Linked DNA regions of Xenopus tropicalis. The protein of the gene in region 1 purifies or fractionates together with the protein of each later gene. This does not show direct contact. Links are inferred from orthologs where the notes say so. Each region holds a gene or a part of one and is shown on either strand. Other genes may lie near its edges.

Region 1 (3,500 bases):
CTGACTTTGCCCAGGTGCAGTAACCCACAGCAACCAACAAACTGTTGGTTAAACAATTAAACAAGGGACCAGTAAATGCTTCCTGCTGATTGGTTGCTATAGGTGATTAGACCAGTAGCAAATGCTGCATCTTTTATTACATATCCCCATTAGTCTGCTATCTACTAGCCGCCTTTAGGGGAGGCAAATAGATAGGGCTGCAAGTGAAGCAGCTGTTGATGGCATTCCTGGCACAAAAGCCCATAACAATGGCAGCAAACTGCCATTATTGTCTTAAAATTTTCTGTTATCTTCACGTCCCGTGTTCACGTTGCAGCATCCTTTCTAAAACAAGCATGTTGCACTAGTTTGAGCTTTAGTTACAGTACAGGGTGATCCGAAGAGCACTGGTTTCCTCTTGGCTAACATGATGGAGTCCCGAGATATAGGAGGGTGCAGCGGAAGGAAGGTCAGTGTGTATGTGCACGGCGCATCTGGAGAAGCTGAGGTGCTGCAGAGAATGCGTAGGTTGGTGCTGTAGCACAGGGCAAGAGGCGGCTGGGAAGGAAGGTAAACAGTTTGTATGAGAAAGCAGTTCTGTGACCTTGCTTTGCAGTTCATTGGGAGTTCAGCAGTTTGGGGCCACATGGAACTATGACTGCGTTTCCTGGTGAGTCTCACTCAAGCGGCTCTTTGTGTGCTGCCCATGTTCAGCATTCTGCGCCATGCAGCTCCCCAGTGTTACCAGGGATTCGGGAAAGCCGTCCTTAAGAAGAATGCCACGTTCACGGTTGCAGTCCAGCTCCTCAATAAATCCATACCAGTATATGACTAGGCCAGGGCCAAACCTGATAGGAAAGGGAGAAAGCAATTAGAAAAGGTATGTAGGGATAATACATGCACGAGCTTACAAATGTATCAGCTGTTTAACATGGGTGAAAAAGATTTTAAGTATTTACTGGGCACAGCAAACCCCTCTCCAACAGAGCTGACACTCAGAGGTCCCAAACTTTTTATCCGTAAACAACAACAGTTAAATATAAAAAACAGTTGGAGAGCAACACAAGCATGAAAAAAGTTCTTACAGGTGACCAATAAGGGCTCTGATTGGCTATTGGGCAGCCCCTATGTGGACTGGCAGCCTGTTTGGCAATTACACTGGGTTTTTATGCAACCAAAACTTGCCTCCATGTCAGAAATACAAAAATAAGCCCCTGCTTTGAGGCCACTGGTTGGGGATCACTGTTATTAGTCAAAACCTGAGGCAGATGGACAATATATGAAATGCCCAAGGTCTGAAGAACTCATTACAAAGTTAATAACACTCACCACAGCCAATGAGCCAACACTGCAAAGGCCTCATACCTTAGATGCCAAGTGCACCTATTTGTTTAGATCAAGTCACAGACATCCCATAATTAACTGTATGCACAGTGAATTTCCCTACATGTTCCTTTATTCTTAATGCATAGACTAAGAATGACCAAAACTGACCAAGAATTTCCATCTCCACCCTCTGCAAGTTGTGAATAGAGTATGTATATGGATCAGGAAAGTCCAGTTTGTAGCTCTCCAACAGCTGGAAGGGTTGCAGGCTGGACATTCCCAGTGTATTTCTTTTCTCTAACTGTCACATAAAGGCAAGCCTGTGTTTCCTGACCTCCCTTTCTCATGGAGAGTTCCCCTCGGCAGACTCAGGAAACAGAGTGCGGAACTATTTGGCCCATGAGGAAGTTCAGAGCTTCATCCTCGGGTTCATAAACAAGTAAGTAATGGCCATCAATCAGAGAGTCGTGCTGCCTATCAGCCTCACCTCACTTGAGCAAACAGTCTGCCGACCCTCTCCCAGGCCCTTCTACACTTATTTCATTTACTTTGCCAGTCAAATTAGGGTCTTGTGCTAAAAATATCTGACTAAAAATGTTTCTTTTGGGGGGTTGTGAAAAAAGGCAAAGACAATTGGATAAGCGCATTAGCGTGGATAAAAATAATGTAGGATAAGGTTTATATTGTGCATGTTATAAAGTTCTACCTACCTACCAACATTTTCAAAGAATGTCTTAATCTCAAGTACATAGTTACTATCATATGAAATGATATCTACGGACACATTATTACTGGCATATTAGGGCAATCATTTTGCACCTACCATACATGGCATGGATATAATAATGGTATTGCTATAATTAAATGTAACATAGGGGGAGCAGACAGAGAGCAACATTCTGTAGGACTAGGACGCTGGTGAAGCAGGAGAAAGCTGATAGTGCCAACCTTCACGATGCTCTTTTGGTCACTTTCTGATGAGGTACCAACAGGGAACCCACTCACTTTAGAGATCAGACAAGCAATTAACAAGGAGGAGTCAAGCAATTAACAGGGAGGAGTCGAAAACCAGGAAAACACAAAGTAACAGGCTTAGGCAGGATAGAGCTGAGACCAGAAGTCAGTCAGGGCACAGTATAATGGCAGAAAACAGGATTCAGAGGCCAACAGAGGGGACATACCTGTACATAACTGACAAGTCTAACAACCAATAGGAATTTCCCCGACATCAAAATAGAGCTAAGAGCATCATTACACTAGCTGCAGCGCACTAAGCATGCCCATGGGGTCTTCCTGCACACCACCATGTTATTGCTCAAACAGAACTATGTGGAATAATGCCTAGAACTTACCAAATGTTGGGAAGATGTTTTGTAGTCGTATCAGACCAACACTGTGTTTTTTTGACCAAAGTTCAAAGCAAACAACCCACCATACTATCAGTGAAGTACAGGGGTAGAAGCATTCTAATAAGTGACTGCTGGTCATCAGCAGGGACTCGGCATCTGTTACACGAAAGGGAGCAAATTGCAGGGAAATACCGCTAAAACTAACTGAAGCTTGTCTAATGGGTCATTCTCTCAGGAGAGCTCCACCCACAAACTCCACCAACAAAGATTTTCTAGGGGAAGCTCCCCTTTAGGGAGAATAGGCACCATCTATTTTTTTTTTTGCTACCCATACAATGTCCCCTGTATTTAAACAGCACTATTCTCGTAATACAGTTACTACTGGATATACAGCAATTAGGGCAGCCATGTTTGGGACACCAAGAAAATAAGGTATGGTCCAAGGCCGTAAAGAGTCGCCACAGACCAAATCAGGCTTCCCAGCTTGGGATCCATTGTCCAGAGCTGATCACTTTAGGCCTCCCCATAGATGAAAACAAAGCTAAAGATAATCAAAATGTCATTACACAGGAATATAAATGAATAGTCACCAATAAACCTCATACCTTGAGACCTCCATCTCTCTTTCTTTCTTTCTTTCTTTCTCTAGGGACCAGTCCCACCAGTGCAATCGAAATCTTAAAGTTATATATATAAATCACAATCAAGCTGAAGTGAAATCAGTTTCACAAAAGAAAAGAATCATTCGTTTGATTATATGTCTTGGGGCACTTGCGGTCTACCCACAATAGGAGCCACCATTCTCAGCCTACTGATACATTACAAAGGGCCATTCAAGTTTCAAGT
Region 2 (4,073 bases), on another chromosome or scaffold:
ATAAAGGCTGAGGCGGTTACATCCGCCTCTAACAGCCATCTTGCGTTCCTTCTATCATTTTGTTGCACAGCAATTCCCAGAATTCCCTACAGAGGCTGGGGGGGGGGGGGTTAAACAAGCCTGATAGAAATATAAAACTTTATAGCGCAGCCTTTGTTTCTGTATGTATGTATATCTTTATAAAGTGCTACTTATGTACGCAGTGCTGTACAGTAGAATACATTAATACAAACAGGGGGTTATTAAGATAATAGATAAATACACAGTATAACAATAAATACAGATAAATACAAGATACAGTTGCAATAAGATAAGAGTCGAGGACACAAGAGGAAGGAGGTCCCTGCCCCGTAGAGCTTACAATCTATATGGGAGGGGTAACTTACAGACACAAATAGGCAAATGTAAGTGCTGTAGGTCACAGTGGGTGACACTTCAATATAAGTGCCAGTTCCCAGTATAAATACATATACTGCCCACACTGCTGAAGCAAGGTTGCCACCTAAGCAGTAAAAATGATGCTTGATGCCAACCTTATTAATAGGGAATATGCACACAAATAAATGAAAGCCTGTATTTTTTTTATCCAGAAAAAATGCTTAAGGTGTAAATAATGGTTTAGTGCAACAAAACAAATATATGGCAGGAAAATGTTTACCAGTAAGTACCCTACTCGGCCGCCCCTAGTCTGTTTCCGGTTCCGTTACACCCCAGCTTCACAAGTGCGTCATGGTATTTATCAGCGCCCCATTACCTACCCCACGCATTCTTACTTCCCGCGCAATACCTGCCTATCCGGAAGTTGCGTCAGCCTAAGCCGGAAGATAATGCCCGACGCGGGAACGAACGTCAAACGGCGCGGGAAGCAAACACCGTGCTCCAATCAAACGTGAGAGCTACTGACAAGCCCCGACCATGTGACCAAAGCTGGTAGAATCAGCGGCCATCTTTAATGCTGGCAACGACTTCGAACGGCTTTTAGACGTAGGAAGCGAATCCGTTTAATGTACTGGTTTGGTAAGGCAGACTCGGCTGTACGTGGGGGAGAGCCATTATACCCCTGTTTACAGGCTTGCATAGATAGGGGGTGATTATGCGTTTCACACTATCCAGAAGCGTCATTGGTTGTTGCTTGACGGTGAGAGGGAGGGGCTTGCGGCTCAGAGGGGGCGGGGCTGGGGGGCGCGTTTGGAGTGAGGTTGTAAGCGAGGCGCGGGAGACAAAACGGAGGGCGGGAAAGAAGGAGCGGGCTGTTTGTGACGGTTGTGTGGGACGGAGCGGTACAGCCGGGCATACCGGGGAAGGAGGAGACGCCACAACAGGTGAGTGCTGTTTCCTTTCTACTCCGGGCTGTCAGCCCACTCTTACTCCCCCCATGCCCACCTTGCTGGTGAACTACAAGTCTCTGTAGAATATTAACTCGGGGGCCACAGGCTGAACTAATAGTCCCTACCTGTGTGTCCATAATCCCCATTTCCCTGTACGTGTTTACTCACAGGGGCGTGGCTAATGTGTGCCTATAACTTATATAGGAATATACTTGTATAGGGAGCCCTCAGTCTTGCACTTGGCCAACATCCGAAAATAGTTTAATGCTCAACATACAAATTGTATCACTAGTTGGCATAAAGGCTTGCACTTTATTTCTGTTAAGCTTCTGTGTGTCTGTGGCTGCTGGGAGTTGTAGTTCAGCCCTGGGGGCTGCCTGATAGGGGTAACTAACTGATAGGGGTAACTAACTGATAGGGATAACTAACTGATAGGGATAACTAACTGATAGGGATAACTAACTGATAGGGATAACTAACTGATAGGGATAACTAACTGATAGGGATACTTAGTTATGGCTTTGTACAGCTCTGCAGTATGTGTTGGTGCTTATAATAACCTGTTACTATTATTATTGTGAGCCTCCTCCTGTAACCGGTTATTGGATGAAAGTCCTGTCTGAGCCCAGTGTGACACCTATATAGAAATAATTGCTACTTCGGTTAACATTGCTTTCATTGGAATGTGAGTAGCATATTTAGGGGATCCCATTGTTAGTATTGGGGCTCATGTTGGCAGTAGCCAAGTTGGGGCCCGTGGGCCAGATCTAAAGCTGGCCATAGACGCACCAATAACATCGTACGAAACCTGGTTTCGTACGAAATTCAGTGCGTTTATGGCAAGTCGGCGAGTCGACCGGTATCGCAGGAAGCTGCTGATATCTGTCGACTCGCCGACCAGCAACGTCAGAAGATTTTGATCGGGGGCCATAGAAGGCGCCTGACCAAAATCTCCCTTCGGCGCTGAATCAGCAGAAGGAGGTAGAAATCCAATTGTTTCTACCTCCTTACCTGCAGTTTCAGCGCTGAAGGTTAGTGGCGGATCTGACAATCTTTCCTGCGACCGATGGTTGCACAAAAGATCGCAGATCGCCACGTGTGTGGCCACCTTAAAGCTGGCCATACACGTGGCGATCTGACGATGTTTCGTTCAACCATCGGTCGCACGAAACATCGTCAGATCCGCCACACACTATTCAGGGCTGAATCGGCAGGTAAGGAGGTAGAAACAATAGGATTTCTACCTCCTTCTGCCGATTCAGAGCTGAAGGGAGATTTTGGTCAGGCGCCATAAAATTTTCAAACTGGTCCGGTCGGCGAGTCGGCCGATATCAGCAGCTTCCTGCGATATCGGTCGACTCGCCGACATACCATACACGCACTGAATATCATACGAAACGAGGTTTCGTACGATATTATCGGTGCGTGTATGGCCACCTTAAGGGATCTATGTGCCCCCCACGCTCCTCCCAAAGGCCCCATTGGCCCTCAGACATGTGCTATAAGAAGTAACTGTCCCACTGCCTGTAGCGAGTTGAATGTGGCTGGTCATTGGGGTCATTTCACAGTATATCGTACCCACAGGGCTTCCCTTTGTTGCTATAATATGCATACACCAGTAACTCTACCTTGTAATGGGGGGGATCTGAACATGTAATGCATGCTGTAATATGATAACAAGGCTTGAGTAGGAGACATCATAGAATTGTCTGTTAACCTGACAGAACAGTGGGAACAGCACTGCCGGCAGCGCAAACAGACGGCTATTGGGCAGCATTAAAACTTCCCGTGCCATTGCTTCCTACTAGAGAAACGCTCAGTTCAGGAGTTGGCCAAATCCAGGCACCTTTTGCAGGATTCAGCTAAATACTTGGGGGAATATTTATCATGCTGTGTAAAAAGTGAAGTGAAGCATTACCGGTGATGTTGCCCAGGGCAACCAATCAGCAATTAGATTTCAACAGTTAGAAAACCAAAGCAAAACATCTGATTGGCTGCTATGAGCAACATCACTGGTAATGTTTCACTCCACTCTTTACACAGCATGATAAATATACCCCTAGGTGTTCATTCAACCCCTTAGTTGTGTGCCTTTAAAGCTTTGGGCAGCTAAGTGTGACATGTGTTTTTAGTTTATGGAAGGTGACGTGGTTTGAATTTTTCCCATATTTTAAATTCGGTGTTCGTCTAAATGCAGAAATGATTGACTCGATGCATGGCAGGATCTCACTGTAATGTGTCTGCGACTGATTCCAAGGAGTGAAGAGGATATTGAGCGGAATAGAGAGGAGTCCCCTGTTGAGCAAACTGGGAAATCCAGCGACTGATTTGTGGGGTGCACAGCCGAGCTTATTTCTAATTGACTTTCAGATATCAGGATGAATGGGGGGGAATAGAGGCTAAGGAAAGGGTTTGTGCAGTGTAAGGGTGAAGACACACAGAGCTACTAGTTGCAGCAACTTGTCGTGGCTACTAAAATAGACAATGCTGATCATTTACTGATAGTCTGTGTGTTAGCAGAGGCAATTCTCAGTATTGTCTATGTCAGGGGATTTTCTGGAGTTTAGTTGCCATTAAAAATAGCTGCTACTAGTAGCTCAGTGTGTCTTCACCCTTACACACACATAGGCTTCTTGTATTTCTGTTAGAGAAGGGCAAGTACAGAGTATAATAAGTGCCAGAAATGCAATTCAGAATGCAGTTTCTCACAGAAAGACTGCCATACCTTTTCACTTAAAGATATAT
Region 3 (4,206 bases), on another chromosome or scaffold:
TCTCATACTCTGGAACCTTTTCCTGGGGCTTCTCACCATCCCGGCCATCTCACACTTTGGCTTCTCACTAAGCCTTGTCGTTCTGGCACTCATACACATGGCTCCTTGCAGTGGCAGGCAGCACCCCCAGCCCCCTGGGAGTTCCTAACACAGGCAGGCAGCATTCTTGCTCTGTGTCCTACTCTGAAAGACCTTTCTCAGTGACTCCTGGCACTTGGTTACAGCTTTCTCTGCTCTGAGAGTGAACCCCTCTCTGTGAGTCCCCCTGTTTGTGGCCATACACGTAGCAATTCTGATGGTCACAGGATCGTTTGTTTCCCCCACAACGTTCAGGGCTGAATGTGGAGGTAGAAACAATAGGAATTCTACCTCCACCTGCCGATTCAGCCCTGAACGCAGATTTTGTTTGGGCGCCTTCAGTGGCACCCGATCAAAATCTTTTAACCTGGGTGATCGATGAGACAGCCAATATCCACAGCCTTTGCTATATCGGTTGTCTCGTCGATCCGCCATACACGCACCGAATATCGTTCAAAACGAGGTTTCGTACAATATCATTAGTGTGTTTATGGCCAAAATAAACATTACATCACCTGGCAGTTGTTTTTCAAACTATTGCAGAGTTTGTAAGAATTTGTATGAATTGTTTTCTGGAGGAGGAAACTTTGTAAAAATGAATGTAAAGTATATGCCATTCCACCGGCGATTCACTTTATTGCCAGAGGAAAGGCTTTTCAGGGAGATTAGTTGCCTGCGATAGCTGAAATGTAACCATGGGGGACTAATCACCCTGTGTGCCACCACCCTTAATGGTTCTTCACTAAGAAGAATATTTTATATAAAATCAATATCAACTTACCTGAAATACAAACATATGTCGGCCTGCAGGTACAGGTCCCACCAATACAGAGTCTAAAACCTGGTCATATTCTTCACTTTCAGCAGAGCCCACGTAAATAATTTTCCATTCTAAATCTGGTGGAAAGTATAATGTTAATTGAAAAGGAATGGGAAATTAGCTCTTCAGCTATCTATAAATATAAAAGTAGTCTCTTAGCCTGATGCCACACAGGGCTGATTCTCAGCCTGAGGAAAACTATTGCGTCAGTTCAGGTGCAGGCACTTGTAGCAGATATGGGTTGCTGAAATGAGAGGCAAGGAAGAAGGCTGATGCCAGCATAGGGACTCTGTTTTACGACAGGCCCTGTGTGGCATCAGCCTAAAAAAAAAGTTCATTAGATGACATCCTAAACATAGTGGGGTTTTTTTTTTTTTTTTTTTATCACCGTGGGATGGCATATGTATTGTTTCTGTCTTCTGAGTCTGAATTTTTCTTGTGAGGCAACTTTTGACTTTTTCAGTTCACATTTTTAGTAAATGTCAGACATTAATGAAAATGAATTTAGTCAGATTTTTAAAAATTGCAGCAGCTAGCTGTATCAATATATTGTTCTTCTGAAAGTGGAAAAATGGATGACAGATTTGATCATGGAGAACTGGACATCTTTCTAAGGTGACACATTTTCTTGTTGTTATTCGAAAAATTATTATATTCATAATTTTACCATTAATTTGGGTTAAAAAAGGACAACTGCCCATCAAGTTAACCATTTTTAAAGAGATTCATAGGCAGATTGTCAGTGTGTGTTTTTATTTACTATGTTGGGACAGTGATTATTAACGCACACAAGCGCCCAGTTCCATGAATATGTACATCTAAATGCCCCTGTGTTACTATTGAGTTTGTGCCCATTACACAGTGAGATGAGGGAGGGGCTATAATTCCACCTGTGACATAAAAAAAGATGAATGCAAGGAAGAATAAACATCTTTTCTCCCCATAACAATGCAATAAACATCCTTATTTTTGTATTTTCCCATGTATTTATATAATAAAAACTGCAGGAAAAAAAAAATAGAAAACAAGCTTTTGCTTTTCACTCCAGGCAGCAGGTCAGCATTATACAAGTAACCGCTATTTAAAATCTGCTGTCTTTGCACTGCAAGAGCCCCAGTGCAGAGGTCACATTGCGTGTCCTGCATTGTCTGTGTCTGTTTCACACTCATTAACCCGACCCCCTCCCTCTCTATCCACAAACAAAACATGGCTGCTGCTCCTGCCACCAGGGCACCTTTCAAACTTACTTTCCCAGTGTGTGCAGCAGCATTCCCATACACTCCCAGCTAGTGCAACCGCAAGTTTTTTCCCTGCTTGTCTACGTTAATGTGCCGGCATTTTATTCCTGTCAGCGCCTGCTCTGCTTCTTAGCCAAGCATCAGGCCTGTGGGAATCAGTTTAACCTCTTGTGCACTAGGATGCTTCTTTAGCAGACTGCCAAAAGAAAGAACTGATTGTAACTCACCTTCAGAAAGGTCCTCTATGCACTCAAAGGTGATTTCGAACTGGAAAGGATTGTAGAAAGGAGAAGGGTTATCCAGCACCACCACATTGTTCACCTGAACCTTTGCCATATTTTGGAAATGCTCAAACAATGGGGATGGTGTGAGAGTGCAGGCAAGACCCAGCAGTGCTTATCTGTGCAGAGCCCCTGTCACTGCTTCTTGCAGTTCTTTACACCAGTCCTGAGAAACTTTCTTCCAAATCAGCTTATTTGTTTGTTTGTTTTCTTTTTATTTCATCCATTGATTACTTTCAATGTGAGCAACTCCACTCTATTTTATTTATTATTTCTCCCCCCTCCCCTGCTCTCCTATCTTACTTCACTACACCACATTCTGTTCTGTTGCTATAACAGCGTGTGTCCGGATTGGCTGCTCCCTGGCCCTTCCCATAATGCTAAAAGCTACACGACAGAAAAAGACAGACTTCTCATGACCATGGGAGCTGGAAATGTTTAGCAGCTGCTCCACCTGCTGGCTGACAGCTCGAGCACACCTCAGGGAGGATCTCTCCGCACTGACAGGCTCAATAGTCTTGCTGCATCTGTGTTTCCTAGCGTCTGAACAGTTCAAAAGTAGTGAGCTTTGCCTCTTTTGGCACTTTGAGGCTTTCAACAAAAACTTCGCTTCTTTAAAAAATGTTTTTCTCTATCTCCCTGGTGTACAAATTAAGATATTCAGGGATCAGCTGAGTTTATCTCATAAGGATATGCATGCAACCAATTAAAGGCTGTTGCACCTGGGGCTCTGAATCCCCCCTGGCAAAATGTCCTCTGGGGAAAAGCTGTTAATCAGAATTTTTGTTTTTTTGGGGTTTTTTTTTTGCTCTTTATTTACTTTTATTTATATTTAAAAAAAATTGACAGTAATGTAGCAGTTACTTATAGGACTATATGGTAGAACCCCTATTTCTGGGAAAACATAAAAAATAAAATGTACCTTGCCTGTATGGGAGGACAAAAAAACCTGCCAATTCTGGGAAAACATAAAATTAGGGTTCAACCATAGTAAATTAGGTTGAAAAAAGACACATCCATTAAAGGAGAAGGGAAAGTAAAAACTAAGTAAGCCATAAGCACTCACAGAAACACTGCACTGAGTCCTTCAAAAGAAACACAGGATTTCTTGTGATTGCTTGTTTTTTGTGAAAATGTTCTTCAGTATCAGACTTCCTCTCTTTTAGGGCTCCTTCAGGTTTGGGGCATGAGTCTGCTCAGTTCTTTTACTCTCCCTCTCCCCCTCCCTTCTGCTTCCCCCTCCCATAAGAACTCCCACCCTTAGGAATGTGTGATTCGCGCTACCAATGGCTATAACTGCAGCAGGAAGCTACCAAGACCAAGCTAAAATGGCAGCTGCTATCGGAGGGAGCTTCTAGGGCTCTTTACTCAGGTATGGTAAAGCTTTCTGCTGAATAAATATAGCGTTCTAGGTGGTACTAATGTGGCAAATCTATTGGCAGTAAAATGCTAAAAATTGCTTTTCTTTCTCTTTCAAGTTCAACCTTTTGTGTCTATATATAACCTGCCTAATTGCTAGTTGATCCAGAGGAAAGCAAAAAAAAAAAAAAACCCTTCTAAAGCCTCTCTAATTTGCCTCCTGGATCATCTAAAACTATTTTCAATGACCATGTCTATCTAATGTATCTGCCAGAAGGACTGATTCATAGGGAGAATTTCACAACTTCACATCTCTCGCTGAAAAAACCCTTTCTGAATATTTAGATATAATGTCCCTTCTTTTAATTGAAATGGATGCTTTTGTGTCTGCTGGAAGGACCTACTGTTAAATAATTCACTGAAGACCAAA

Evidence for each region.
Region 2: the proteins of c15orf41 (region 1) and asf1b purify together in Homo sapiens (affinity purification with mass spectrometry; 4 studies listed by BioGRID and IntAct, counting the BioPlex papers as one, with this or other methods). This does not show direct contact. The link is inferred for Xenopus tropicalis from reciprocal best matches to the Homo sapiens genes CDIN1 and ASF1B.
Region 3: the proteins of c15orf41 (region 1) and asf1a purify together in Homo sapiens (affinity purification with mass spectrometry; 3 studies listed by BioGRID and IntAct, counting the BioPlex papers as one, with this or other methods). This does not show direct contact. The link is inferred for Xenopus tropicalis from reciprocal best matches to the Homo sapiens genes CDIN1 and ASF1A.

Annotation. Positions count from the first base shown.
Region 1 is NC_030684.2:111,286,254-111,289,753, forward strand, and holds part of c15orf41 (protein C15orf41 homolog), read right to left. Parts: intron 828-3,500; coding exon 632-827; 3' UTR 1-631. UniProt on the Homo sapiens protein: Plays a role in erythroid cell differentiation.
Region 2 is NC_030679.2:134,227,291-134,231,363, reverse strand, and holds the start of asf1b (histone chaperone asf1b), read left to right. Parts: upstream 1-1,273; 5' UTR 1,274-1,322; intron 1,323-4,073. UniProt on the Homo sapiens protein: Histone chaperone that facilitates histone deposition and histone exchange and removal during nucleosome assembly and disassembly. Cooperates with chromatin assembly factor 1 (CAF-1) to promote replication-dependent chromatin assembly.
Region 3 is NC_030681.2:73,626,504-73,630,709, reverse strand, and holds the start of asf1a (histone chaperone ASF1A), read right to left. Parts: upstream 2,801-4,206; 5' UTR 2,473-2,800; coding exon 2,364-2,472; intron 976-2,363; coding exon 860-975; intron 1-859. UniProt on the Homo sapiens protein: Histone chaperone that facilitates histone deposition and histone exchange and removal during nucleosome assembly and disassembly.